Linked DNA regions of Macaca fascicularis. The protein of the gene in region 1 purifies or fractionates together with the protein of each later gene. This does not show direct contact. Links are inferred from orthologs where the notes say so. Each region holds a gene or a part of one and is shown in the gene's direction. Other genes may lie near its edges.

The links. Proteins that work in one complex are often made in the same cells at the same time.
Region 2: the proteins of CAPZB (region 1) and SH3BP1 purify together in Homo sapiens (co-immunoprecipitation; 3 studies listed by BioGRID and IntAct, with this or other methods). This does not show direct contact. The link is inferred for Macaca fascicularis from reciprocal best matches to the Homo sapiens genes CAPZB and SH3BP1.

What each region holds. Positions count from the first base shown.
Region 1 is NC_088375.1:215,739,947-215,743,464, forward strand, and holds part of CAPZB (F-actin-capping protein subunit beta), read left to right. Parts: intron 1-2,535; coding exon 2,536-2,601; intron 2,602-3,347; coding exon 3,348-3,424; intron 3,425-3,518. UniProt on the Homo sapiens protein: F-actin-capping proteins bind in a Ca(2+)-independent manner to the fast growing ends of actin filaments (barbed end) thereby blocking the exchange of subunits at these ends.
Region 2 is NC_088384.1:13,993,134-13,996,651, reverse strand, and holds part of SH3BP1 (SH3 domain-binding protein 1), read left to right. Parts: intron 1-642; coding exon 643-754; intron 755-1,098; coding exon 1,099-1,180; intron 1,181-1,273; coding exon 1,274-1,354; intron 1,355-2,157; coding exon 2,158-2,274; intron 2,275-3,518. UniProt on the Homo sapiens protein: GTPase activating protein (GAP) which specifically converts GTP-bound Rho-type GTPases including RAC1 and CDC42 in their inactive GDP-bound form.

The sequences.
Region 1 (3,518 bases):
GGATGGTATCGATCTCCTGACCTCGTGATCCGCCCGTCTCGGCCTCCCAAAGTGCTGGGATTACAGGCTTGAGCCACCGCACCCGGCCTGAAATGCACCCTTAAGCCTAAATATCTGACTTGAATTTGCCCCGGCACATTTAACTGGCATGGTGAAGTAGGAAGAGCAAAGGCATTGGAATCTAACAGTGATTCTTGCATCTTTAAGCTTCAGTTTCCTTCTGTAGCTAGCCCAGGTTTCCGGGTTCTGTATTAACCCTGTGACCATCTAAACCCTTGACACAGTCGATAGGAAGCTGGTCATTCTCTCAGCCGGGCCTTTACTTAAGTCCTGGACAAACAAGTTGACCAAGGGCATGCAAAGACTGCCACAGGGTGCCCCATAATATATGCAGTGCACAAATCATTCTATTTTTGGTGGGTCGGTATGGCAGTGAGCTGACCCTGACCAGGTGTGGAGGGGAGTGGGCAGGGGTGGGCGACGGGGCTGTGGAACTGTGGCCGGGTCCCCACCCCTATCGGCAGAGGCTCCATCCTCCCCTTCCTCTCAGCCACAGGTGCAGGATGGTAGACGAGAACTTGCCAGAAGGATGCAACCCTATTTAAGTAGTTGTGTTTTCTTCCAGCCCAGCATCCCCACCAAAACAGGAAAAGAAGTATTCTCGTGCAGGGCTTGTTCATAGTGAGCCTGGCTGGCTCCTCGTGATCTCTGACTTTAAAATGTGCCAGCAGATAATTTTAATGATCCCATCAAAAATTGTTGTCTGGATCAGTTTCAAGCTAGCATTTCCTTGCAGAGGCCATTCTTCCTTTTTTGACAAAAGTCGGGTCGGCCAGGTGCAGTGGCTCACACCTGTAATCCCAGCACTTTGGGAGGCCGAGGCAGGTGTATCACCTGAGGTCAGAAGTTCAAGACCAGCCTGGCCAACATGGCAAAACCCCATCTCTACTAAAAATACAAAAAAAAAAAAAAAAAAAAAAAAAAAAAGGAAAGCCAGGCGTGTTGGCGGGCACCTGTAATCCCAGCTACTAGGGAGGCTGTGGCAGGAGAATCACTTGAACCGGGGAGGCAGAGGTTGCAGTGAGCCGAGATTGTGCCATTGCGCTCCAGCCTGGGCAACAAGAGTGAAACTCCATCTCAAAAAGAAAAAAACAAAAAAAATAGACAAAAGTCAGGTCAGCCACTGCCGCCCCCCAGTGTCAAAGATTGCAGTCACAGGTCAGGTCTGCCCCGACCCTGCAAGCCTGATTGTTTAAAGTGACTTGGTTCTTTCCTGCCCTCTGCTCACCCCCTTAACCAGGTTGGTTCCACCTTTCGCAGCCTGAAAGTCGATCTCCCTGATGAGGAGAAGTAGAAATAGGTGAGAAGCAACAGAGCCGTACCCTCTGAGACGGGATCTCCCCCCAGCCTCCACCCGTCTCCTGGTTCCAAAGAGAGGAACCCGCCTTTTGCTGGTTTTTCTTCTATGGGCCTGAACTCATTTTGAACTCTACCCTTTCTGATGCTGTTCTTTTCTTCCTCTTTCTTTCTTTATTTCAGCTTCCACATTTTATTTCAACATCAGTCATGGTAGCTACAGATTCTTACTTTCAGTGTAGTAACATTGAGCATTTATGTGCCTAGCACTCTTCCAGGCACCCTGTGAGTTATGAGACAGGCACATCTCTCCTTAAAGAATTTATATTCTTGTCAGGGAAATAAGGCTTCAGATAAGAAAAAATTGGAGGGAAAGTGCCGAATTCCTTCTTCCCTAACCTGCCTCCATTTCCTCCCTCCTCCAAGTGGAGATGATTGGGTCAGAGCCAGTTCTTCCTGGGCGTGGGAAGAGGAGATGGGGCTTGAGTGCTGCCGCCCCCCTCATCACCTCAGTCTGTATTGAGACTCTCGCTCAAACTCCCCTCACAGAGTAGAACAAACGGGCCCTGGCGCGAGGAAGGGTTTAACCCAGGCTCTGCCATTGCCACCTGCATGACTAGGGTGAGCCACTAAATCCCTGTGGCCTGGAGTCTCCGTCAGAGGTTGTCTGTCCTTCCCCGCGAGACCGCAGCAGATGGCACCCCAAAGCCACCATTCGGGAGCGTCAGGGCGCAGCAGCAGCCCGGGAGCTTCCCCTGCAGTGTCAGGCCCTGAACCCAGGGTGGACGGCCTGGCCTGGGCCTGCCAGTAGAGGCCTGAAGACAAACCGAGCGAGTCTTCTCCAGTTGGCTCGGGTGAGCCGGTGTCTGTCAAGAGCCTCTGCCTTTGCCCTCCCTGCTGTGGCTCTGGGCATCTGCCTGCTCTACCATGGGCAGCAGCAAAATCTTCTCCCTTGAAAGTGGGGGCCCTGGGCTTCTGCCGGCTGGGCTCTTCATGGTCTGAAACTGAAGTCGGTTTGTGCTTCAGTTCCCAGGCTGCAAAAGTGGCCTTGTCATACCTGCAGCTGGCTCCACGGTGGGAACAATAGGCTCTTTGCAGACCGTGGAGATGGGCTGGGCTGTCTGCCGTTCTCAGAAAGCCCCGGCTTTCTCTGACTTGGAATGTTTCTGTCTTTTGCAGATGGAGAAAGATGAAACTGTGGGTGACTGCTCCCCACACATAGCCAACATCGGGCGCCTGGTAGAGGTGAGTGGCCGGGGCTCTGGCTGGCTCCTGTGTTGGCCCACGGCAGTGACACTGCACCCCCGGCACCGCTGTGCTGGCCTCCTTCTCTGCTGCTTTCTCCCAGCTCCACAGCAGCCGGCAGAGCGCTGCTTGGATTTTGCCCTGGCCTCATATTTTCGGAGCCTCTGATTTGGATGCCAGCAGGCTGTGGCTTCAGGGCCACCTCCTGCTCCCCCCCCGACCCGGGCTCCCAGAAGACTCTGCTCAGGCGCTGGCTCTGGGGCGCACTAGGTCTTGTCTCCCCTGATCGCCTGGGTGTGAACAGGGCCCTGCGCTGGGAGAGGAAGCAGATGCCAGAAATGCCAGTGGGCCCTGGAGTGGCTTCAGTTGCGGCTGCCTTGGCCCTCCTGTCACCACGTTGTTTGGGAAGGCAGGGAGGTGCTCTCCGGTTTCACAGAATTGTTCACAAAATTAGTGGGGAGTCTGAGGGGCGGTGATGTGGTTTAGACCAGCTCCCAGGCATGGGCAGAGTTGGCCGCCAATACCTGGGTACTGGCTTCCTCCCTTCCTGAGGACGGGAAGGCGCCTGGAGCACAGATGGCAGGTGGGGTCTTGGCAGCCTGGAGCCCGCTCACCCGTGCCCCAGAGCAGGTGTGTGCTGCCCTCCAGTGGCCATAGTGGGGACTGCAGGGCTGGCGGGTGGAGAGAGGGCGTTGGCCTCAGGGTTCCTGACCGTTTGCCAAGGCGCTGACCGACCTCCCTTCCAGGACATGGAAAATAAAATCAGAAGTACGCTGAACGAGATCTACTTTGGAAAAACAAAGGATATCGTCAATGGGCTGAGGTAATGTACCAGAAAGCACACGCTTTAGAAGCAGAAAGAGGGGTTTGAACCCTGGCTCTGCCAGTTACTAGCTGTGTGGTCTTGGGCCTCGGTT
Region 2 (3,518 bases), on another chromosome or scaffold:
ACTCCTAACCTCAGGTGATCCACCTGCCTCGGCCTCCCAGAGTGCTGGGGTTACAGGCATAAGCCACTGTGCCTGGCCCTTTTTTTTTTTTTTTTTTTTTTGAGACAGGATCTCGCTGTCACCCAGGCTGTAGTGCAGTGGTATGCTCCTGGCTCACTGCAGCCTCTACCTCCCAGGTTCAAGCAATTCTTGTGTCTCAGTCTCCCAAGTAGCTGGGATTACAGATGCCCACCACCATGCCCAGCTAATTTTTTTTATTTTAGTAGAGATGGGGTTTTACCATGTTGTCCAGGCTGGTCTCGAACCCCTGGCCTCAAGTGATCCACCTGCATGGGCCTCCCAAAGTGCTACAATTACGGGCATGAGCCACCGCGCCTGGCCCCTCCCTTCCACTTCTGACTGGGCTCCCATTTCCCCATGATTTTTCCCACCTCCTCCCAGACTTCCCAGCCCTGCCCTTTGCTCAGAATTCTAGACCTTGAAGGTTGAGGCCTGTGGACACCATGGTGCCCACACTGCCGGCCACACCAGTGGGGACACAGGCCTAGCGAGGGCCAGTGACACACCCCAGGCTACAAGGCCCCTGGGTATCCTGCCCTGCCCACCCCTCTGTGACCCTTGCCTGCCCCCTCTTGAACCCAGGGTCTCTTCCGTCTGGCTGCTGGGGCCTCAGTGCTGAAGCGTCTCAAGCAGACGATGGCCTCGGACCCCCACAGCCTGGAGGAGTTCTGCTCCGACCCACACGCCGTGGCAGGTGCCTGATCCGGGGAGCCCTGGGCAGGAGGTTGGGGGGAAGGGGTGCAGTGGCGTGAAATGATCCCAAGATAAGCCTGGCTTCAAGACATGATATTCTGTTGAGGAGACTGAGGACGCTCAGGGGTTCTTAATGTGGGATCCATCATGAGCCCCCCAAAATGTTTGTACATTTTTCTGGGGAAATGATGGCTAGCCTTCATTTTCTCAAAAGGGCCTGCAGCCCAAAGAAACTGTCAGATCTAGACACATTAGTGTGAACAAGGGCCGGAGGTTCCTTCTACAGGGAAAGTGGGAGAGCGGGGTGGGGGCTGCCTCTGACCCTCCCCCACACTCCTGCTTCAGGTGCCCTCAAGTCCTATCTGCGGGAGCTGCCAGAGCCCCTGATGACCTTCGACCTCTATGACGACTGGATGAGGGCAGCCAGGTGAGGATGTTGGAGGAGGGAGGGGATGGGGAAGAGGAGGATGCAAAGGGGTAGCCCTGCGCTGGCTGACAGGTCTCTCCACTCCCTCCGCAGCCTGAAGGAGCCAGGGGCCCGGCTGCAGGCCCTCCAAGAAGTGTGCAGCCGCCTGCCCCCCGAGAACCTCAGCAACCTCAGGTGAGCCCAAGCCCGCCCCCCCAGCCTGCCACAGAGCCAGAGCCCAGCTGGGGTCAGGGACCCTGGGCTTGAGCCTGGCCTTGTCACTATATTTTAAGAAATATTTCTGCAAATGCAGCTTTGATGGATTAGTCATTTACATATATATATACATACTGTTTTTTTTTTTTTTTTTGAGACAGGGTCTCACGCTGTCGCCCAAGCTGGAGTGTAGTGGTGCAATCTCAGCTCACTACAACCTCCGCCTGCTGGGTTCAAGCAATTCTCCTGCCTCAGCCTCCTGAGTAGCTGGGACTACAGGCACCTGCCACCACACCCGGCTAAGTTTTGTATTTTTAGTAGAGATGGGGTTTCACCATGTTGGTCAGGCTGGTCTCGAACTCCTGATCTCAGGTGATCCACTCACCTTAGTCTCCCAAAGTGCTGGGATTACAGGCGTGAGGCACTGCACCCGGCTGAATTAGTCACATACATATTTTTATGTAAAGCATTGAAGTGAATGAGACCTTGAACTTTTGAAGCCATACTGCCTGACTTCGCATGCCACTTCGGGGCAGGCCACTCGGCGTCATCATCTGAAAAATGCAGACTGTAATAGTCCCTACCCTGTAGGGTGGCTTCGAGGACTCAACTTGGCTCAGTGCCGGCCGCAGGGTTGGCGCTCAGCGGATAAGCTGCTTTAACTGTGACAGTGTTAAGACCATTCTGGGCGGTGTCTTTCACACTCTTTGGAAACCCTGAGCTGGAGAATTCTCAGGGCTGGGTGCGTTCTGCCCCTGGCCTAAGCCTACCTCTGCCCTTAGGTACCTGATGAAGTTCCTGGCACGACTGGCCGAGGAGCAGGAGGTGAACAAGATGACACCCAGCAACATCGCCATAGTCCTGGGACCCAACTTGCTGTGGCCACCTGAGAAAGAAGGGTGAGGGGCCGTGGGCTGGGGGAGGTGGGAGGAGGAAGGCAGATCCCACCCCAGCCATCTGTTGTCTTATTTTTCCCCTGGGCCTCGGTGTCCCCATTTTTGGAGTGGGTTGAGCAGCTCCTGTTTTTGCGGCTGCCGTGAGGAACAGGCCGAAGGGGCCGTGCAGGCCACAGGGCTTTGGAGAGAGGCATTCTGGCCAGTGGTGGTCATGAGATGTTTAGTGGCATGGGAAGCTGGGAGCCCAGAGATTGGGTTCGGGTTCTTTGTTTTGTTTTGTTTTTTGTTTTTCTTTTTTTTTTGAGACAGAGTTTCACTCTTGTTGCCCAGGCTGGAGTGCAGTGGCACAATCTCTGCTCACTGCAACCTCTGCCTCCCCAGTTCAAGCGATTCTCCTGCCTCAGTCTCCCAAGTAGCTGGGACTACAGGTGCGCACCACCACTCCTGGCTAATTTTTTGTATTTTTAGTAGAGACGGGATTTCACCGTGTTAGCCAGGGTGGTCTCGATCTCCTGACCTCGTGATCCACCAGCCTTGGCCTCCCAAAGTGCTGGGATTACAGGTGTGAGCCACCGTGTCCGGCTCAATCAGGTTCTATTAATAGCTCCACCCCTGGCCGGGCGCAGTGGCTCAAGCCTGTAATCCCAGCACTTTGGGAGGCCGAGACGGGCGGATCACGAGGTCAGGAGATCGAGACCATCCTGGCGAACACTGTGAAACCCCGTCTCTACTAAAAATACAAAAAAATTAGCACACTGTGAAACCCCGTCTCTACTAAAAATACAAAAAAATTAGCACACTGTGAAACCCCGTCTCCACTAAAAATACAAAAAAATTAGCTGGGCGTGGTGGCGGGTGCCTGTTGTCCCAGCTACTCAGGAGGCTGAGGCAGGAGAATGGCATGAACCCAGGGGGCGGAGCTTGCAATGAGCAAAGATTGTGCCACTGCACTCCAGCCTGGGCAACAGAGCGAAACTCCGTCTCAAAAAAAAAATAAAAATGAAGAAACAGGCCGGGCACGGCGGCTCATGCCTGTAATCCCAGCACTTTGGGAGGCCGAGGTAGGTGGATCACCTGAGGTTGGGAGTTCGAGACCAGCCTGGCCAACATGGTGAAACTCCGTCTCTACTAAAAATACAAAAATTACCTAAGCGTGGTGGTACACGCCTGTAATCCCAGCTACTCAGGAGGCTGAGGCAGGAGAATTGCTTGAACCCAGGAGGTAGAGGTTGCAGTGAGCCCAGATT